Arabidopsis thaliana: one gene and its partners. The protein of the gene in region 2 interacts with the protein of the main gene of each other region in a biochemical or structural test. Each region holds a gene or a part of one and is shown on either strand. Other genes may lie near its edges.

Evidence for each region.
Region 1: the proteins of AHP5 (region 2) and ARR4 form a complex in vitro, tested with the Arabidopsis thaliana proteins (one study listed by BioGRID).
Region 3: the proteins of AHP5 (region 2) and ARR7 form a complex in vitro, tested with the Arabidopsis thaliana proteins (one study listed by BioGRID).
Region 4: the proteins of AHP5 (region 2) and ARR15 form a complex in vitro, tested with the Arabidopsis thaliana proteins (one study listed by BioGRID).

What each region holds. Positions count from the first base shown.
Region 1 is NC_003070.9:3,440,375-3,446,375, forward strand, and holds ARR4 (response regulator 4), read right to left. Parts: upstream 3,987-6,001; 5' UTR 3,386-3,986; coding exon 3,208-3,385; intron 3,120-3,207; coding exon 3,043-3,119; intron 2,956-3,042; coding exon 2,878-2,955; coding exon of another isoform or gene 2,796-2,877; coding exon 2,725-2,795; intron 2,626-2,724; coding exon 2,250-2,625; 3' UTR 1,614-2,249; downstream 1-1,613.
Region 2 is NC_003070.9:845,879-851,733, reverse strand, and holds AHP5 (histidine-containing phosphotransfer factor 5), read right to left. Parts: upstream 3,942-5,855; 5' UTR 3,576-3,941; coding exon 3,507-3,575; intron 3,368-3,506; coding exon 3,237-3,367; intron 3,093-3,236; coding exon 3,021-3,092; intron 2,927-3,020; coding exon 2,855-2,926; intron 2,737-2,854; coding exon 2,664-2,736; coding exon of another isoform or gene 2,607-2,663; exon of another isoform or gene 2,556-2,606; coding exon 2,499-2,555; 3' UTR 2,113-2,498; downstream 1-2,112. Other genes in the region: 2A6 (2-oxoglutarate (2OG) and Fe(II)-dependent oxygenase superfamily protein), read left to right, coding at 5,160-5,782. UniProt on the Arabidopsis thaliana protein: Functions as a two-component phosphorelay mediator between cytokinin sensor histidine kinases and response regulators (B-type ARRs). Plays an important role in propagating cytokinin signal transduction through the multistep His-to-Asp phosphorelay.
Region 3 is NC_003070.9:6,576,613-6,581,762, forward strand, and holds ARR7 (response regulator 7), read right to left. Parts: upstream 2,703-5,150; 5' UTR 2,467-2,702; coding exon 2,319-2,466; intron 2,189-2,318; coding exon 2,112-2,188; intron 1,893-2,111; coding exon 1,815-1,892; intron 1,722-1,814; coding exon 1,651-1,721; intron 1,554-1,650; coding exon 1,307-1,553; 3' UTR 1,221-1,306; downstream 1-1,220. Other genes in the region: AT1G19040 (NAC (No Apical Meristem) domain transcriptional regulator superfamily protein), read left to right, coding at 283-801. UniProt on the Arabidopsis thaliana protein: Functions as a response regulator involved in His-to-Asp phosphorelay signal transduction system. Phosphorylation of the Asp residue in the receiver domain activates the ability of the protein to promote the transcription of target genes.
Region 4 is NC_003070.9:28,130,947-28,136,331, forward strand, and holds ARR15 (response regulator 15), read right to left. Parts: upstream 2,080-5,385; 5' UTR 1,765-2,079; coding exon 1,635-1,764; intron 1,537-1,634; coding exon 1,460-1,536; intron 1,252-1,459; coding exon 1,174-1,251; intron 1,082-1,173; coding exon 1,011-1,081; intron 909-1,010; coding exon 644-908; 3' UTR 501-643; downstream 1-500. Other genes in the region: NdhO (NAD(P)H:plastoquinone dehydrogenase complex subunit O), read right to left, coding at 1-74; OTP43 (Pentatricopeptide repeat (PPR) superfamily protein), read left to right, coding at 2,987-4,268, 4,356-4,435; AT1G74910 (ADP-glucose pyrophosphorylase family protein), read right to left, coding at 4,824-4,924, 5,020-5,062, 5,182-5,250, 5,331-5,385. UniProt on the Arabidopsis thaliana protein: Functions as a response regulator involved in His-to-Asp phosphorelay signal transduction system. Phosphorylation of the Asp residue in the receiver domain activates the ability of the protein to promote the transcription of target genes.

The DNA of each region.
Region 1 (6,001 bases), 2.6 Mb from region 2:
TTAAATTCAAAATTTGGGATACTTTTTTGTTTGTGTTACAGAAGAAGCAACACAATGTTTAATTTTAATCATGTAAACCAAAAAAACAAGTTTTCATTGTGGTGGTGCCAGAATTTTAGTTTAAGCAAAAGTCATTATATATAGTAAGATATATTTTGTTAGCCGTTAAGCAAAGCAAAACAAAACTATCCTTCATGCAATGACTTTTATTGTGCTATGCTTATCTCTACTATATATTCAAAACCATGAGTTATCATATCGACAACAAGAAAAAGAAAAAAGAAAAACTAATTTTACTTGATGTTTCCTCTAAATACGAAGAAGATAATGGACATAAGATTCAAATTTTTCAAATTACTATCTAAAAAGAAAGAAGAATAAATTAAACAGCAAACTAGCCGTAGACAAAAGTAATCTACATGTTAAGAGTAAAGCAAAAAACGTGGAAACACACATGCAACAGCGATCGGACACTACAGTACCCCAAAGATGACAAAAGAAAAAGATGTGGTAGAGAGATTTATTCCCCCACATGAAGGGACAAAACGCAAACCAAGGACAATTTTTGTTAATTTATTGCAAAATTTTAAATACGCCAAACGTGAGGAGTATCGTTTGGGGATGATTTTGTTGTCGACAATAATTAATGATTTTGTTGGTTATATACATTGCATCTACAAATTTTAAAATTGATTTCGTCTTTCCAATGTGGTTGGCTCTGTCATTAGATTATTATACTAATCCAACTCTTTATATTGTATCTTTTATTATTTTTTTTATAAATAATACGAGTAAAATTCGTGTGTGAATATAGAATTTCGTTCAATGGTTGATTTAGGTTGAATTAGGTTGATTTAGAGAAAAAGAACACCTGACGTCTAAATTTGGATTACAAGCTAAAATAAAGTGAGATATAATATGTTTTATTAGATAATCGAAAGAACATCTGATTTGTTCATCAGAAAATGAATGCGAATAGCAATTGGGTCATGTCCTTAGATTGTTGCAGCGGTCTTCTCGATGATAAATAAGTTTACGACCAACCGCCTATAACAACCTCTAGTACCAATCAAACATAGATCCGAAACACACACGTTAAGCAACATATATACAAAAGTTAAAGCTATCCCAAGCTTAATTATATTGGTCGTGGTTTCTAATGTGAAGATCTTACTTGGATCCAAATGGTAAAAACACATGACCATAAAAAAAGAAACACCAAAATGGGTGCCAGAGACAAGGGATCTATAGAGACTATTTATGGAGAAATATGCCCCAAAGGAAGGGAACAAGAGTTGCCCATTTCCAGCTTTGCATTTATTCTTTCTTCCTCTTCCTTCTTTCTTCTTTTTATTTTCTTGCTTACTCTCTACACATCTACACATGCATAATGATGCATCCACTACTTCGTCGTATATTATAAGCATTTTTTTCTTGGGTTAAATATGTATATTCAAAGTTGCATTAGAGCATCGGCTTGTGCATCTCTTTTGGGAAGGATAGAATTGAACGTCATCGTTTCATCTATTCCCTTAGCTTCATTGCAAGGTTGAAAAATGGACCCAAAATTTGGTTTTAATTAACCGCCTTTTATGCATTTATATTTTTATTCTTTTTTACTATAAATTCATATGTATAAGTTTCAAATTTTATGTTTGTAACCTAAATTGTTTTCATTATCTATGAAATATTTATAATTTAGCCAAAAAAATTAGAGCATCGGCTTATAGTCATTAATAGGAGTATTTTGGGTCATAAAACTGATATATATTTATGGAACTGTTTAATGACTATAGTGGATTCAAATGTTACTAGTTGATTTGTATCTGGAAAAAAAAACCTTAGCTCTCTGATTCTTGAATTGTCAGATCTAGCTAACTTTCTGATTATAAAACCCCATATGTCTATGATATTGACTTATTTAGGACCCAATACATAAGAAAAAAACGCATATTCAAGTCTCGTTATCATAATAAATGGTGAATGTCGAAGGTTCGATTGCAATTTTCCCTTTGTTTAAAGACTAAAAAAGTTAAAAACGTAACTTTGTGCAGAAATTAAAATAATTAAAAGATATTCGAAAAGCTTTAAGGAAAAGGAAAAAAGGCCCACGTGGAGGCGCGAGAGATTAAAGGGACATCTATAAAATTTGACGGCGTCAAGTCAACGTGCAATTAAAAACACCGTCAGAGGTAAAAACGAAGTTAACGGAGATAGATAATATTACACGGCATCCCAGAATAGTTCCACTAATCTAATCCGGGACTCCTCATCTTCTGCCGTCGAATCGGCGATTCCTCCGACGACGACGTCAACACGTCATCATCTTCATCGTCTATCGGAGATGAAAGTGGCGAGGTGGAAAAGATCTCCACCGGAGATAACGGCGGAGACGAATCCGACGATTCAGTCGAAACAGTCAACGGCGGCGACGATTCAGGCGAGATAGTCAACGGAGGTGACGGTGGAGGAAGCGAAGAGTTAACGGAACTAGAATCTTCCGGAAGCTTCCGTTTGTTTCCGTTGGAAAGTTTAACGTCTTTAGTTAAATGACTTCTCAGACGTTTCACGTCGGCGAGTTTCACCGGTTTCAATAAGAAATCTTGAGCACCTTCCTCAAGGCATCTGTTCAAAAATCATTTTTTTTTTTTACAAAATTTTATCAAATCAATCAACAGTTTCTAAAAACTCCAAAATCTGTGAAGAAATCAACAAGAATCACACCTGTCGATTCTGGTCAATACATTCTCCGACGACATGATTACAACCGGAACTTCTCTGAAATTGGACGATTCCTGTTTCAGATGACCGGAAAATTCAACATTGTTACTAAAACAACCGTAATCTGAAACAGGAAAATGGCGGGAAAATGCAGACCTTAATCTTCTTGAGAAGCTCATAACCAGTCATTCCAGGCATACAGTAATCAGTGATGATCAAATCAACTTTCAATCTCTGAAAATATCCATTTAAACTAAATCAAACTCACGAATCGTAATCTTCAAAAAAAACAAAAAGCTGTATCAGATTTCAATAACTTACATCGAATTCAGCAGAAGCTTTCTCATTATCTAACCCTAGAAATTCCAGAGCACGCCATCCACTATCTACCGCCGTAACTGACAAACGATACCACCGGAGATGTAAATATTCCGGCGAGGAATAAAAAAAAGTGAAAGATGTTTTTTTTTTTGAAAAAATACGAACCTTTGCAGGAAGTAATACGAAGCAATCTCTCGATGACAATACGATCAACGAGACTGTCATCAACGGCTAAGACATGAACTTCATCTAAATCCAACGGCGCAGATTCAATTCCTCCGATACCACCGACGCTCATCATCTCCGACCTTCGTAAACAAGAAACACCACCGTCTCTGGCCATAGACGAGCTTATAGTAACTGTGAGGAGAGGATGAGAATAAAATAGAGAGAAGAAGACGAAGAAGAAGAGCTCACATCTGTTTTCTTTTGTTCCTTTCTCTTCCTTAAGACAGTTTTTTATATTTCTGATTTTTTTGTTCTCTAAAATAAATCTTTTATGAGTGTGTCTTTTTGGTTTTTTCAATTTTTATTTTGAAAAATCTCCAGCGAGGAAAATCCAACAAAATCTTTGGTTCCTATTAATGTGAAAATTATATATTTTTATGTGCCGTGCTTTTAGGGTTGAAAAAATTGAACTTTTATCTTTGAAAACAATAGTATTAATAAATAGAGATTTTATGGAAAATCCGGTGGAGGGCCTATGCGAATATCATAGAGAAAATAATATTCCTAAAATCGAATAAATAATAGAGGAGAAGAAATCCGTACAAAGGAATCCAAAAAATAAAAATATACCATCGTGAGATATATACAACTTCTTAGTCAAAATCTCGTCATTACTCATTAGTGTGATTGGAAAAAAAAAACTGAAAATGGAATCACTCACTGTTAAGAATAATAAACCAGAAGATTAAAGAAGCTAATTTTGGTCATACACCATTACAATTCATAGTAGCGTGTTTAAACTTAACCGGCTCGGTTCTTCGGATTGGTCTTATTTGTATTAAGTACTAACCACTAAGACAATTTTATATTGTTCCATGTGATTGGTCAGTTTCTAATTTAAAATTTATGGTTCAAATGCAATTCATAGAATAATATTAAGATCGGGTTTTGTGGGTTGACGAGAAAATTAGTATACGCCTAACTAGTAGTATATCCATCCATATGACTCTAGAAATTTTATGTTATCCAAACACTTTTATTTATATCGTTTTCAAATGGCAAAAAAAAAAAAAAGAAGAAGAGGAAAGTGGACAAATAATAATAAAAAAAAAGGATTTGACGTCCACATTAAAATTTGGATCCGCGGGACCCAGGGAAATCTAAAAGAGGGACCCATAAATATTTTGTTGGGAACAATTTGTATTAATGAAAGGGGGAATTGGACTTTACCTCTCTTCTTCTTTTTTTTCTTTAATCTTCCAAACATAATTTGCTGTTTCACTCTTTTAGACACCACACCGTATCAAATCTTGGAGATCGCTTTTGCTTTCTCTTTCCCACCCATTTATTATATTTTTTTATATAAAATATCATTATTATTTCTTTTTGTTGAAAGGGTAAATGTTTTGATTTTCTATTTTATTTTTAAAAATTTTATGAAAATGTTATGACAATATAGGTGTTTTTAAAAATCTCTTGATAATAAAGAGCTACTATTAAGAAAAAATAGGTATATAAACATGAGAACAATAAATATATATAATGATTCTTTGGCTCTTTATTTTTTCTAGAGAAACAAATTTATTCCAGATTGAATGTAAACTAAAGACGACCAAATCCAATACTATGACATTTTCCTACTTAAAGTTAAAGCTCAAAAGATCAGGTTTCAAGGTTGCTTAGAAGTTATCGATCACAGTCGTGGATGATCAAAGTAGAGTTTTATCAAAAGACTTTTGTTTCTTCTAATTGATAGTGTCTCTAATTTAATCGTTTTTCTACATTAACCAAAAACATCTAACAAAGTAGAAAGAAAAATGACGCGTGAAATAGACAAATCTTACAATGGATATATTGCCCATTTTTATAAAATAATTACGCGAAATTTAAGATTGATTTGAGAATTGATTTTTCAAACGATATGGGCCAACGAATGATGGATCAAATCTTCATGATGTCAACTCAAAATCGAGGGTTGAACAAAAAAATCCATAAAAGTAGTCATCAACGTGTCGCACATAAAATCGTAATCTATCTTTTTTCTAGGAACTTTGGACATCAATTACAAAATTAAAGACATTGACATTTTCCCTTTAATTAATTTTATGTTGGTACTCGATTGAGGTTTGGAGCATCTTTATATTCTAATCATTATTGTAAATATTTTCTACATAGTATAATATATTTGTAGAAATAAAAGTAATTGATTAGTTGACCTAATTATACAATACTCAAAATCATGTACACTTGAATATTTTCATTTTGACGTCTAGATTTTGTTACAGGATCAATGGATCATATAGAAACTCAATTTTAGTCTATACGTACATGGAAATATAGTTGAATCTCAAATCCGAAAATCCAGATTAATGTCAACATAAGCTCATATCTAATCTACAAAGCATTTGTTGGATAACATAGATTGGTCTTTCTCCTTCCTTGGTATCACTCTTATGTTGTCTGAGTTATATCTCCTATCCTATTGATTCTTAGACTTTTTTGTGAGCTAGTAATTATTCTCTTCCAAATTGTGCTCTCTAGCTTTATGTATCAAAAATTTCACCATCAATATGAGGCCATGTTGATCTCGATGAAAACGAAGTTACTCGTTTGTCTTAATTTAAGAAAATTGTGGGCTCTAACACCATATTGCAAAGTTTTTTTTTATTCTTAGTCGTTAATTATTATTTGCGAAGTTTATACTTCTATTTCGATGTGTTATGCTTATTATCACACACACTCATGCAAGAAATGTTTCAAAAACGTCAAGAACAAGGAGCACATAAAATTT
Region 2 (5,855 bases):
CTTGGACGAGCGAGATTTCCGTGACACGTCAGCTTTCTGGTTCGATAATTACTCTATTGTACTAGCTACTACCTTTGTTTTATAATTGTACTTTATTATTTTTTCCAGATATATTTTGCTCGATTTTAAAACACAAAATCAGCGTTACAATTTCATTTTCCTGATTGAAGTTGATGAAAAAATAAAATAAAGAATTTTCCTGATATTTAACACAAATCATAACGCATATCGTAGGAAGTTTAGCTTATGATAGATGGTTAAGTAATGGTCAATGTAACTGATGAAAGTTTTAGTCAATATCAACTTTGAAGTGTGTCCTAGTCTATATCTAACTAAGCTTTACTGTACTATATCCACTTCCAACAAATCTTGCGACCAAAAGTTTATTTCACAACTACTTTTGATTAGTTAAATGTTATAGTCCCTAGTTAGTACTAAATGTTTGATTCGCCATAGGGCTTCTTTGATGAAGTTATAGATTAACACATCTATCGAAGAAATGTTTCGTATACCGACTCTTGCATAAATCAACAAATGTTTTTGTCAATTGTTTTCACTCGTTTACATTTAGCCATTATACTAATTACTAACTTACTTCATTGACCAAAAAATATATAACTGTATTAATCTATATTTATATATGAAAGAAAGTTTTAATATTTTACGAATGAATAAAATGAATATGAGAAAGATGTAAAAGCTAGCTATGACAGTTAGATAGGTGAAAGAGAAAAAAAAAGATTTGTAAGGTTGTTCCAACTGTCTAAATTTTACAAAGGTAGCTGGCAAATGGTCCTTCAATTCCGTGGGCGTAAAGAAAGATAATTGGTAAAAAAGTTGGACAACGCATAAGAGATTGACTTTAAGTTTAAAAGCAAAAGGAAAAAAAAAGAGTAAATATGGTAAAAACAGTGACATGTTATATTTCTCTAGTTTTTACTCATTTGGTTTTTCACAAAACTTGTTGTTTGTATGTTAAAAAAAGGAATAGGAGCTTGGACCACAAGTTTTAGCAACAACACATGCATAAGATGGTCAGGTCAACATTTATAACGCTTACCCAATTTTAACATTTGTTTCACTACATACGCAAGCAACAAAATAGCTCGATATATACCTCTACTGTACAATCTTTTGCCTTGTGTACGTATATTAGCAGATTGTCTCTACTTTTGATGTGCATTAATTAGTTTCATAAGTGTAACTACCGTTTTCTGAAAATAATTAACTCATAGCGTACATCTAAATACGTTTCAAATAATGATTCGCTACTGATTCACATATACCAACCATGCATAATAAAAATGATTTAGTATTCATTCTAAGAGAGACTAGGTAGTGATGAGTAGACCAAATTAGATTTATGAAAAGAAAACTTGGCTTTGCAAGAAAGCCAAAGCAATACGTTCCAATCATAATGAACAAAATTAAAAAGGTCTAAACCCTAAGATGGTCCGCACTACGAGACAATTAACGCACTCGTTTTGGGACTCTTGTGTTTGTTTGGTGTGTCGTCGAATCCTCTCTCCATAGAAGGTAAGATCACATAGTAACCGATATAAGATTTGCTTTGACTTTTGAATCGGTTTCATGAAGAACCCTAAAACCAACCATGTTATAAGGATATTACAAAATTATTTTAAAAACATTGGTTGAGAGAAATAAAAATGATGAAGATGGATATGATAAAATGAAGGATAGAGGAGAAAAGCTTTGTTATTATTTGTTACATTACACGCCTCCATGCCTTCAATTTATGTTTCATTAGTCTCTTTCACTTCACATACTCTTCCTTTAAAAAAAAAAAAATGCTCCACCTAGTGATTACCATAGACACATGGCTTCACATTTTTTATTCCACTTATAAACAATCTATTGATAATTCTTCGACATTTTCTTTTTATTTCATTCCTAGTTTGAGGTAATTCGGACATTATATTAAATACATACCTAACAAGACATGCCCAATCCTTTCTCAATCTATTGTCACAATCATGTCTTATAAGCCCTATAACAATAATGTTGATAAAAGAGACCATGGAATACCGTTAACAAAATAAAGAGACCATGGAATCGTGTTATCCATAATTCAAACAAATCATTCTTGATTAATCCACACATAATGAAATCGTCTAAAGTGCTAACTAGTACCCGCATGCTTTACGGCTCAAATCAAAATCATGAATCCAATAGAGTATATCAGATTCAGAATAATGCTGAGAATTCTAAGTCATGATGGTCAGAACAAAGGCTCCAAATGGTGGTTGCATTGTGACAGGAATACATATGGACATGTCTATTTATAGACTAATAATTCAATTTTTACTCTTAGAACTCAATTAAGAGTCTAAACAAGACACGATATCTGGCCAGGGACAGTGTTGCTGAACCTCATTAATCAATATAAAACATAACAACAACAACAAAACTACAGAGGAGTTTCGGTTTCATTTGTGTCATCAGCCTTGAACATTTGCATAATCGAGAAACGCATCGGTCTAATTTATATCCACTTGAGGAATTGTACCTCCAGCTTGGAGGATCTGTTTCTCTAACTGCAACAACATAACATAACAGAAACAGAAGAATGAGAAGTAGCAAAAGGCTCAGTAAAAAGAATACACAAGCAGAACAAGTAGGTTTTCGCAAAGTTTAAAACTCACATTAAAGAGATCCTGAAGTTTAGTCTTTAACATCTTATATTCATAATCCACCTGCTGTAAACACCTTAGACACCTGTGCCAGATATCATTATCACAATTTGTGTGTGAATTAGAAGAATAGCTTCTCATATAATAAAAAAGTTTAGAGATCCAATAACATTTTGCATCAACAAGCTAAAAAATATACTCACCCTTCACGGTTCTGAACATCGCAACATTCCTTGAAAGATATGCACACATTTTTCACCCTCCTTGCACCGACACTGAGTACAAAGCAGAGACTGAGCCATTAAAATCAATGTAGTTTGGTCACTTAAAACTAGAAAAGCAAATTTAGCAGTGTTCACTGTGACAAACCTGGAGCTACTACCCTTGAGTTGATGAACACCTGAATCCACCTGTTTGAAATCCACATTATCTGGCCGCTCCCTAATGTTTATAATAAACTCATAAAATGCTGTCATGAATATATGAAGCTAATTTACACCCTCAAAAATGAATATGAAGGAGGATTAGAGACAAAGTCCCATGTTAGATAAAAAAGAGAAGCCTAAGAGAGTAAGCAAAGCTTACAGGGATATAGACATGGTATTAATAAGCTTGGAACAGTCGTCGAAGAATAGAGAGACAACTTCAGCTACAAAATCAGGGGTTCCTTCATCTTGCAACTTTCTCAACTCTGAGAACTGATTATCCAGAAATCCCTTCAAAACAACAACATATTATATCATCTTTATAAAAAAAATAAAAAAATTCAAATTCACACATAACTGCACCTTAAGCTTATCTAAGCCCAAAAGTGAGAATCCAGCCAAAGTAAGAAAAGTTTGGTTAGGAACGAACCTGTTGATAAAGAGAAACGATGTAGTCTTGAAATTGTCTCTGCAACTGAGCAACGACGATGGTGTTCATAGCTAAAGTTTACCAAGAACCAGACTTGTAAACAAAGATGGTAAGAGCTTCTCAAACATACATATACCAAAAACAAACAACGGATACGGTGAACTGTATTTCGACGGTTCCGAGATCGATCTAATCGGAGGTTTTTGGCTTAATTTAAAACAGATCCAACAACAACTAGGCGAAAAGACCAAAGAACAAACTTCCAACTTAACTAAGAGATTCCAAATTCAAAATCGGAGCGACACAGAGAGAGATGATGATGAATCTGATCGGAGCGTCGAAAGTTATAATTTATTCCACGTTCCGTTGACTGATTTTGACTTAAATATCAAATGGAGGGTTATTTTTGTAAATGACTATATTGTAGGAATTAATCAAGTACGTAAATAATATTTTAGTTTGTGGGGTGCAAATCTGATTTTATAGATAGGGAAGTTGCTAGCATGCGTTCTCCACAAACGAGATATCTTTTTTTTTTTTTTTTAAAAAAAAAGGTCCAGTCCCAATTGGGCTTAGGCCCGGAATTACAATCGTCCACAGTTACAAAACAGGAAAAATCCGGTCACCGGAAAAAGAGAACCAGAGGTGGATTTGGGCAGTGGAACGGAGGCAGCAAATAGATCTATTAGTACCGTCGTATACAAGGCCCACTACTTTGCAACACAACCACCGGAACGAGATCATTGGCCGAAGTATACGAGTCCTGCCGCAAATCTCTTACCAATGAGCTGGCCGGACCTGCAACAAACCTAACGGAAAAAACCCAGTTTCCGACACTCCGCCACCCAATTTGGTCGAGTCCCCAACCTCGCAAAACGACCACGCATTTCCAAGCCTCTGACCTCCAAAACCTTAGATCTGAAAATTTTCCAAAAGCAAAGCAACCTTCAATCCGGATTGATGGAGACAAAAAACGGAGGCTAAAGAAGGGTGATGGCTCAGACAACCCTTCAGCAACCGGAACCCGCAACAGCCATCTCAGATCCAGTTTGTTAACCATCAAACACGCACTGAAAACCCACCAATCCACAGCGTCTTCCGCCACAGCTACAGCGTCTAACCAAGTGGTTGAACCAAGAAAGACTTCACCGATCTCCACCGACGTCCATAACCAGGAAGAAACGGAAGAGAAGCCTCTCATCCACCGAGAAAGGGCCACCGCTGCCACGCTTACCGGAAAAACCACACCACTCCAATGCCGGAGAAGATAGCTTGCCTTACTCCTGCTTTGTCTTGCAAATTCATAACCTAAGATGAAGAACAGAGGCAGAAAAAACTAGATCTGTAAAAACTGGAAAAAACTTCAAAGAGAGAGAAAATGAACAGTAGCGGAACGATTGTCCAAAGTCCTCCAAACGAGATATCTTTAAATGTTGTTTTGCTAATTAGTGGCGTTTCGAGAGCTAGGCGAGCAACAATGGCGATGAGATTTAATATGGTAAGTGTGTAGTTAATTAACAAAAGTTCAAACCGGATGCTATTCTTACTTGTAAAGACAAACGACCAATTAAGAATCCAAATTTTAATATAGGAATTGAAATAAACTAATGGACCTTGTTTTTGGCGATTCATTTCTTTATTTGTTATCTTAATATGGGTCACGATTCCTTTTGTTATTTAATTGTATTAAGATGTGCATTAAGATGTGGAATAATAGCACTTATGCAAATCTGTGCATTGCAAAAAAAAGAAAGAAGAAGCAAGATGGAGTCAAGTGATCGTTCAAGTCAAGCAAAAGCTTTCGACGAGACAAAAACCGGCGTGAAAGGGCTTGTGGCTTCGGGAATCAAAGAGATTCCAGCCATGTTCCATACACCTCCGGATACTCTAACAAGCCTGAAACAAACAGCACCACCTTCGCAGCAGCTGACGATCCCCACGGTGGATCTGAAAGGAGGAAGCATGGATTTGATATCGCGGCGGAGCGTGGTGGAGAAGATTGGAGACGCTGCGGAGAGATGGGGATTCTTCCAGGTGGTGAATCATGGGATCTCGGTGGAGGTGATGGAGAGGATGAAAGAAGGGATTCGCAGGTTTCACGAGCAGGACCCGGAAGTGAAGAAACGGTTCTACTCTAGGGATCACACTAGAGATGTGCTTTACTACAGCAACATCGATCTCCACACTTGTAATAAGGCTGCAAATTGGAGAGATACGCTCGCCTGTTACATGGCCCCCGATCCTCCCAAGTTACAGGACTTGCCCGCGGTTTGCGGGTAACGTTTCCCTTTCCATACCAAACACCTAGCTAGCTAGGATTCATTTCTCTTTAGTTTTTTTTTGGTTTAT
Region 3 (5,150 bases), 5.7 Mb from region 2:
TAAGTTTTCACGTCGTTGGGTCTCTCTGTTAATCTGCTAGAAGAAATCTTCGATCATTGATTCATGTAAGTTCTCGTTCTCTCATAATCAAGTTTCTTCTTCTTCAGCATATATTCGTCTCTGTTACACTTTCACACCGTTTCTACTGCTAGAAGAAATCATATTCATTACCATGATTCCAATTCTTTTACTGGGTTTTCTTTTAGAATAATAGATCACTGTTTGTTTTTAGAGATCGAGTTTGATGAATTTGGTTTCTCGTTTCTTGGATCAGAAGCAAAAATGTCAGAGGTGTTAACACGCGGGTTTCGATTTCGCCCAGCTGATGAAGAAGTGACAGACTACCTTATGCGGAAGACACAATCGCCGGAGTTCAGCTGCTTTATCAAAACCATAGACTTGTACGACAAGGATCCGTGGGTACTTGGGCATGTGAGAGATCCGTGTTACAATCACTATGAATGGTATTACTTTGTTAAGAAAAACCCCCTCGGGAATGAGTACTTAGATAAGCCTAGATTGAACGGGTTTGAACATCCACGCTTGAAATGGGATGTGTTGAAGCAGATACATGATGCTCTGAGTTCTGGTCAGAACGTCCCACCAAGTGTCTTTACTTACGGATTCCGATTTCATCCGACTGATCAAGAGCTACTCTCTTTGTACCTCACTCCAAAGGCCCATTCACCAGACTTCAGCTGCTTCATAAGAGAGAGAGAGAGCTATATGCCATGGAGCCATGGCTTCTTGAACATGTTAGATCTCCTTTTTACAAGGACAGTGAATGGTACTACTTTGTGAGAAAGTGTTCGTCTCGTCGTGAAAAGCTGAATTTGATGTTCTACCTCAGGGGCAAGAAGAAAACATGGAGGGTCAATGGTGTTGTTACACAAATCATAGATAATGACATAGAGAAAAATGTTCTGGGAACTAAAACAAGATATTCTTTCAATCTCGATGTGGGGCGTGTCCACTCAATGACCGGGTGGAAAGTAGAAGAATTCCAATTGTCTTCGGATCCTGTTTGGGCGGTTTGCAGACTCACTTACCTGAAAAACGATTCCTGCGTGATTGATGATAGACCAATACTTCCGGGAGAAGAGCATCCTAAGCTTGAGTTGCAAGCATTGAAGAATTTACATGAGGTGTAAGTCAGTGTGAACCTAACATTTGATTCTTTTCTCTTTTTTGTTTTGTTTTGTTTAAGCAACATCATGAGTAGTGTGATGACTCTCTCAAACATTGTCTTTCTTGAGGAATATTAACAGAATGGTTTTGCTAAGGTCTTGGCCTCTATACATATAATTCAAAGTAGAGAAAAAAGGTTTTCAGATTCTGATTTCATTCGTTTTGAACATGAAGAGTCCTTGATAGAAGTATCATCATGACTTGATGATGATGTATCACTGTCTTCTTGAAGCTTTCTCTTGTTAGAATGGCTTAAGATTTTGCATTCCTCAGCTTCATTCCTCATTATAAGTTGTTTGATTCGCTTTACATCTGCTAGCTTCACCGGTTTCAACAAGAATTCCTCTGCTCCTTCTTTGAGACATCTAAAAACAAGAAGAAGAAGTCGATAAGTTTAGATCACAGTGTAGACACAAATATGATCCCATCTGTATCACTACACATTACACAATCAGTACTTACTCTTGTATACGAGGTAAGATGTTCTCAGATGACATAATCACTACTGGTACTTCTCTGAATGCTGAAGATTCCTGCACATATCAATGGAGTTTTGTATAAGCAGCATTAAAAAAGCTTTGTTTAAGTCTTTCTCAGATTGGTAAATCCATTATTATTGTTATTACCTTAATCTTTTTAAGGAGATCATATCCTGAAAGTCCTGGCATTGAGTAATCCGTCACTATCAAATTCACCTTCAAATCCTGTTATGATGAAAATCACAAACAAAATCAAATCTTAATACCAAAACACATAAATCACTAACTAGACTAGTTCATTTCTAAATCTCATTTGATCATAAAGACAAGAAGAAGCAATAGCCAAAGCCAAAGTTGCAAAGGTTTCACTCCTTCGGTCTTTCCTAAATATACAAGAGTTCTTCTCAGTAGATAGCAAAAGAGGGAAGATTTATTCTTAATTACCTTAAGATTAGAAGCCCCTTTGCCTCCATCTAAGCCAAGATACTGCAAAGCCCTAGTTCCACTCTCTACAGTCGTCACTGAAATAACAAAAAAAAAAAGACACTTGTAACTAAAAAACAGAGGAGAGTTTGTTAATGAAGAAGAAAAACAGAGGAGAGTTAAAACCAACAAAAACAGAGCAGAAAAAGATTGGTTTTGAGTTTTTACCTTTACAAGAAGAGATTCTAAGCAACCTCTCGATGACTTTACGATCCACAATACTATCATCGACGGCAAGAACATGCAACTCCGGAGTAGTAACAGTCAAATCTCCACCGGCGGGAATCTCCATCCTCATGACCTCACCAACCGCCATTGTCAAACTCAGAATAAAAAAGAGAGCAGATTGGTTCCAAGAAGAGGAAAGCTTTGGATTGAAGACAAAGGAAATGAATGTGATAAAATGAAAGAAGAAGAAGTTAGGTTAGGTGACATAAATAAGAAGGGAGAGGTGGTGGGGTTTAATAAGTACTAGTATAGTAGATAGAGAGAGATTTGGAAGATCGGATCTTGCGGGGTAAGATCTTTGAAGAGGAAACAAAATCTTAAAAATGGGTCAAGTGTTGATGTTATGTGTTTGGGAAGTGTCAGAAAACACAAATAATCAAATGTGTCTTCAAAGGTCAAAATCTTTGGGCACCGAATCTTTTTTAAGATTTCAAAGATCTTTGTTTGGTCTGTTTCTTTCAATCCGACAGCGACTACTCCCTCGTGACCTGGAACTTTCCTTCTGCTTTTAGTAATTTTATTTTAGTTTTACCTCTCTCTCTCTTCTTTTTTCTTTTTCTTTGCCAAGTCGGCTACTACTTTGCATTTTACTTACATATCAATCAATGATCTAAAACCGGTGGTTATTGCTCAATTAATCTACTTCTATATTCATTTTAACTTCAACATTGTATTTTGTATTTTCCTATACACGTGATTCGTTTATACTCTACTAAATTTTATTTATGTGTAATGGTATGATGGTGATACTAATACAATTTAATCCTCTTGTTGTCTTTTTTTTTTTCTTTTTTAATTTGGGTAAGAAGTATTTTACAAGGTTATCTTAATTTAATTTTCTTTACGTCAGTAAGGGTTATTATTTTATTTAAAGACAAAAGGGACATTTTTTATTTTTTATTGTCATCGTTTTCAGTTGAGTTTCCTTTATTAAATTGATTGAATTTTGTATGCAATAAAGGCACTCTGTTTAGTGGACCATTGTGTGTGATTTGTGAGTCTCTTTTGCTTTTGGACAAAATCTTGAGAGAAAAATATGGACAAAGTATTGCGGGTGGATCCTTTTGTCTCAATCATAACATCTTCTAAACGAATTGCAAGAGGACTAAGGCAATAGTACATGTTATTTGGTTTCAAATCAATTAAAAAACGTATATTATACGATCCCTAAATAAGTGTCAAACATGAAATTCCTAAATTAAATTGGAGAAATAATACCAGGACAACAGCCATATCATATAAGGATCTCTTTGCAGATTTAAAAGGTTTTTTTTTTTATTTTGCAACAAAAGGGAATAGTTTTGTCATCATTTCATTTAAGTTGTTTAGTGATTTTTTTTAGTTGACCATCATTGTGTGATTTTGTGAGTCCTTTTTGGACAAAATCTGGAGAGAGTAAAATCTTCAAAAGTTGTGGAGGAGGATCCTTTATAGTTTGTAACATCTTTTAGCCGATTGTGAGAGGACATTGACAAAAACATTTTGTAAAGAAAACTGGTTTCTTAGCATTAATTTAGAATCTAGCAAACTTTTTGTAACGATTTGATAGATATCTACAAATATCAATGTTGAGATCTACAAGAATCTAGCAAAAACATGATGGTCTTCACACCTAACACTTACGAAAAACATTATTTTGAAAAAAAAAAAAAGAGTCAGTCATTTGAAGAGAAAATTATTACAATGTTGATCCACATGTCTAAACATTTGATGATCGTGCCAAACAAAACATTGGTGATAAGAACATTACTGAAAGGAAAAGGAAAAAACCATCAATATGTTTCACATTTTCTTATTTTCATTGCAATTTATATATGGAACAAACTTGCTTTCAAATGTTTTTTTCCACCTAGATTTTAATGTCTTATGTTTCAAGTTATCAAGATCTTTGCATACATTTTGAATAATAAAATAAACAAATCAAGAGACAGTCATCCATTTGCTCCGTACCTAAGATTTATGAAAAGAAAATCCTAAATCCAATTTAAAAAAACGAACCACAACCACCAAAGTCTTTCATGTATTCAGTTATTTTTTAGAAGTCAATAATTTGATTTTAAACATAAACGAACAGTTCCTGAATAATAGAAACGGACTATTGATGATATAGTCACGATAGCTACAAGAGGAGAAAAAACACTATAGTCATAACAACGCTAAAATATATATAAAAGTGTTCTCCGTTTGTTGGTTTCGTAATAAATAATGCTTCATCATATAGTCACGTACTGATTTGTTTACAAAGTTTGCTTACAATCTCAAGATACGATGACCAAAATACCAAAGATATTACTAGTTATTTTTCAAGACTAATATTATTATCGTATATAAATATACTGTTTTTCTCATAACAACATTATTTTCAGCTCATTGTTAACATGCTTATATGTGACAGTAATATATACACAAATTGATACAATATTTTTGTCAAACTTTAATTTTATGACTTATCACATAGAACAGTATTGATTTGTCTATATGCGTCCAGTGCGATAATAATCAAGTTTGACTCTAAGGTATAATCAACTGGGAAAAAATTAGTTCCACTAAAACAAGAAAATATGACTCGCTTCCACATCATCAACCGGTACCAACTACCAAAGAGGAGATATTTGAAAACCAAAGTGTTAATAAAATCGTTTAGTCATCGAACAAATCAGAGACTACGAATAAAGTTAAACATCAAATTGGACTACGAGGATTCTCTTTATATAGGTAACGACTTCTATATTATTAAATATCGAGGCATGGTCTGAGTAAAGTTGTCCTGAT
Region 4 (5,385 bases), about 27 Mb from region 2:
CTAGAAGAAATTGGTAATGAAGAGGAGATGGTTGAAAGAGAAGAAAGCTGAGACACAGTCGCAGAGAAAGCCATTGGAGAGACCACCAAGAAAAAAAATTATGTGTTCTTGGAGTTTCGGGATAAGACCGCAATGGTATCCAAGTCTCTCAACGGTCTAAAACAGACATCACTGAACCAATCATAAGATGCCACGTAAGTGCAAACAAGTTTCCTCTGCTATACAACTAGGAATATAGTAATAGATAATGTATTCCAACAAAGATTATATTCGTTTTTTTTTGTTTTCTGATGCTTGAAAGTTTATGAATTATAAACACATACAAGTGAAATCGTGTATGTCACATGGAAGATCATATACAAAATCTTTTTACGTGTACTTTTAAATTATATGTTACATTATAGAATCTAATTGATCTGGTTGTGAAGTAGGAAACAATATATATACTGTAGGCAAAGTATTTAATTTTATAAAATTGTTTAAATCATATTCACATTGATCTCCTTTTGTTTTAACAAAAAAAAAAAACAGAGTAATAAGGTGAGCATTAGAATCTAGACTTACATAGTTGCATATATCAAAAATAATGTATATTACACAAGGAAATCAAGAGAAAACGTGAGAAAAGATTGAGCTCAATCATTTAACCCCTAGACTCTAATTTGATCCTCTTGGAAGATGGAGTGTCGTCATCAAGGGAGGAAACATCATGAGACGACGATGATGAAGATGTTGATGATGATGATGGAGATGAATCAATGTCGTTTTGTAGGATTCTCTTAGGACTAAGTTTTTTGGTTTTTCCTTCTTCAGCTTCACCACCTCTCATTATAAGTTCTTTTAAACGCTTCACATCAGCTAATTTCACCGGTTTTAGCAAAAACTCCTCTGCTCCTTCTATCATACATCTACAACAACAACAACAACAAAAGAGAGGATAGACAAAAAAATCAGATTACAGTGTTAAGATCCATTGATTCAGTTTTGTATCTTTAGCTATAGTGACTTACTGTTCTATACGAGGTTGTATGTTCTCAGAAGACATTATCACTACTGGGATTTCTCTGAGTGCTGAAGACTCCTGGCAAATATACAACAGAATTTTTGTAAGGAAAACACGAGAAGAGCTTATTCAAATCTTGCTCTAATAAATGACACAAAATAGAAATTTACTTTGATCTTCTTGAGGAGTTCATATCCTGTTAGTCCCGGCATTGAATAATCCGTCACTATCAAGTTCACTTTCAAATCCTGTTATCAAAATTTGCAAAATTGTTCATATAAACGGCATCAATAAACAAATAATAAAATCATCCTCTAAAGGTTAAACTTTTGATCCACATTGTGAAACCTTAGATTTCTTGGGAGCCAAACCAGCATAAGAACACTTCAAGTTTCAACGTCTAGGGTTGATTTTGCTAGAAAACAGAGAGATTCTAAGAAATGAATGAATATATACCTTAAGACCAGAAGATCCATTGTCTCCATCTAAACCAAGATACTGCAGAGCCCTAGTCCCACTCTCAACAGTCGTCACTATATAAAGAAACCCACCAAATTTATCCAAAAAAACGAATCAGAAACCAAACAAAAGAAAAGCAGAAAACGTAAAGAGAAACAGTTTTGCCTTTTACCTTTACAAGCAGAGATCTTAAGCAATCTCTCAATAACTTTACGATCCACGAAACTATCATCAACGGCAAGAACATGTAACTCCGGTGAAGAAGAAGAAGATAAAGAAGAAGATAAATCTCTGAGAGCCATTGTTTTCTCTCGGGAAAGTAAACAACAAAACAGATGAAGAAACGTTTAAAGTTTGAACGTCAAAGGACGCAGAAATCAATGTGAAGAAGGAAGACGAGGAGTTACATAAATAAGAGAGAGAGAGAGAGAGAGGCAGAAGCGGTGAGTGAGATACATAAATAAATAGGAAAGAGAAAGAGGAGGAGATTTAAGGAAATACACAGAAGAGAATCTGGAGGATCGGATCTTGATGTTGTTGTTGTTGTTGTTAAGATCTTGTGAGGGTCGGAAGAGAATCTAAAGGCGATGAGTGATGTGTTTATGTCTTGTCAGAAAACGTAATATTGTGTCTTCACGGTCATAATCTTTTTAGGGACCCAATTTTCTTTGATTTTACGATCCTTTTGTCTGCTCTTTCTTTCTATCTGACAATGACTACTCTCCTCTCTTTTTATCTTTCGTATTCAGTAATTACATGTACTGTCTATTAATTTCTTTCACTTGGTTTCTTTTCATTCTTTCACATAAAATAAAATTTTCACTACATTTATGTTGGAAAAAGAGTACATATATTTGTACTTTTGAAGATTCACAAAATCTATATAGAACTTATAAAATCTTCATGAGGTGAATCAATTGAAAGTTCACAAACATGATTTTTTTTCTCAAAACTTTAAAATATAATTATTTTTGTAACTCATCAAATAAACTTTGGTGGACACCATTACAAAAACAAACATATCCATTCAAGGTTTGATTAATAACATAAAACGGTACAAAAATTTAAGCAGATAGAGAAAGCGGTTAACGATATGTAAATAATTAAAAGTGGTATAAAGTAACGGATAGAAAGAACGGTGCGGTGAAAGTATCTTTTTAATCGCTTTGGTATTATTTTCATAATCAATTACAACGGATACGCTATACTCCTACCGCAATGCATCAATTATAACCAATATGTTTTAGATGGAAAGGCCTGGTTAGCAATCGACTCTGCTGTTTGGTTTGTGAGAATCGTCGAACTCTTCTTTGAACTCCACAATGTCTTGTGAGACCATTTCCAAAGAATGCCCAATTAGACCCATAAACCAACTAACTCTGTACAATCTGAAAAAGAAAGAAACGTTCCATAAAACGGTTAAAACATTATTTAGCGGTAAACAAATGTGATACAACTACACCAAATTACCCAAGAAGTCACTTAAAAAGACTTTTTTCAAAACAAAATAAAACAAACCAATCGATGAAACGTCTTTTTAGCAAATCGCTATGTACTTCGGCCGCCGGAGCCAATCTCAAACCACCGCCGGCAGATTCCGCCGCCATAGCTAAGCTTATCCTCTCTTCTCCGAACACAACTCACCAAGACGATCAATTTCTACTCTCCACCAAAACAACCCCATGGACCCCAAATCTCGTGAACTCTGTTCTCAAGCGACTCTGGAACCACGGCCCTAAAGCTCTCCAATTCTTCCACTTCCTCGACAATCACCACCGCGAATATGTCCACGACGCTTCCTCCTTCGATCTCGCAATCGACATTGCCGCCCGTCTTCACCTCCACCCCACCGTCTGGTCACTCATTCACCGTATGCGCTCTCTCCGCATCGGTCCTTCTCCCAAAACCTTCGCAATCGTCGCCGAGAGGTACGCATCCGCTGGGAAGCCCGATAAAGCGGTTAAGCTGTTTCTGAATATGCACGAACATGGTTGTTTTCAAGATTTAGCTTCTTTCAATACGATTCTCGATGTGTTGTGTAAATCTAAACGCGTAGAGAAAGCTTATGAGTTGTTTAGAGCTCTTAGGGGAAGATTTAGTGTTGATACAGTTACTTACAATGTGATTCTTAACGGTTGGTGTTTGATTAAAAGGACGCCTAAGGCTTTAGAAGTTTTGAAAGAGATGGTTGAGAGAGGGATAAACCCTAATTTGACTACTTATAACACAATGCTCAAAGGTTTTTTCAGAGCTGGGCAGATTAGACATGCTTGGGAATTCTTCTTGGAGATGAAGAAACGGGATTGTGAAATAGATGTTGTCACTTATACTACTGTGGTTCACGGGTTTGGTGTTGCGGGGGAGATAAAGCGGGCGAGGAATGTTTTCGATGAGATGATTAGAGAAGGTGTGCTTCCTTCTGTTGCGACGTACAATGCTATGATTCAAGTTTTGTGTAAGAAAGATAATGTGGAGAATGCGGTTGTGATGTTTGAGGAAATGGTGAGGAGAGGTTATGAGCCGAATGTGACGACTTATAATGTGTTGATAAGAGGGTTGTTTCACGCTGGAGAGTTTAGTCGTGGAGAGGAGTTGATGCAGAGAATGGAGAATGAAGGCTGTGAACCAAACTTCCAGACATATAACATGATGATCCGTTATTATTCGGAATGCAGCGAGGTCGAGAAAGCGTTGGGTTTGTTTGAGAAAATGGGGAGTGGTGATTGCTTGCCAAATCTAGATACTTACAACATACTGATAAGTGGAATGTTTGTGAGAAAAAGATCAGAAGATATGGTGGTCGCTGGTAAACTATTGCTTGAGATGGTTGAGAGAGGGTTTATACCCCGGAAATTTACTTTTAATCGAGTTCTGAACGGGCTTCTTTTGACAGGGAATCAAGCTTTTGCAAAGGAGATCTTGAGATTGCAGAGTAAATCTGGTAGCCGGCTTCTCCGGAAGTTCAGGCTATGAAGTTACTAGTCTGCATGTGATTGGGGATAGACTCTTGCTATGTTTACAACAATCAATACTTCCCCAAAGCATTGCATTGCAGTTAATAGAGACTGGACCAGGAAAGGCTTCATAGGATTTTGCAAGAACAGTTTATTATCAATGCCAAAACTACACAAGTGCTTTATTATTCTGGGCAAAAATTCAGTGCCTTTTACAGTAGCTGTGTTGTGAGTATAGAAAATGGAATTGATACAATGTTGGAAAATTCTTGGTGTAAATAAATGATACATGTGAATTAGTTCCCAAATATTTGCTTATGTGGTTCTCCAGTAGATATTGAATCAGAGGGAGATAGTGTGGCTGCTCCCCACTGGGTTGGTTCCATTTTTCAACTTCCGTTTTTCAGTTACAAAATGATCTCGTCTTGAACACTGACGTTCAGTGTCTTGTTTGGAAGAACAATACTGCTGGTCACCACAACCTCGTCTTCAACTGCAACCGAGTCTCCTGTAACCATTATGTTTGAGGTTAGTTATCTGTCTATAAAGAGATTTTGCTTTCTGTATATAAAGAGAAGGAGCTACAATGGAGGAACAGTTTACCGAGAATTGTAACTCCGAGTTTCGAATTGTAGACTCCCTCAGCCTGTGATCAACAAAGTACAACTTCAGGTTCACGATTGTAAAGGAATCAAACAAAAACATTTCAAGGTCCAAAAAGAATGAGTCAGGCTCTTAAGAGATGAGCAGAAGAGGGAAACATGCCTGGACGCGGGACCATCTCCCGATAGAAGATTTCCACCCAACAATTGCGTTAGTCACCACTGCATTTTCCTGGGCAAAGAGTCACTGAAGGGTCAACCTCGAGAAAATTTAACCGTTTTTCACTTTGTGTCTTGTATAAGTAGACATACCATGATCTCAACATCGTCAAGGATGATGCAGCTCATAAGCCTGACGCCCGGTCCA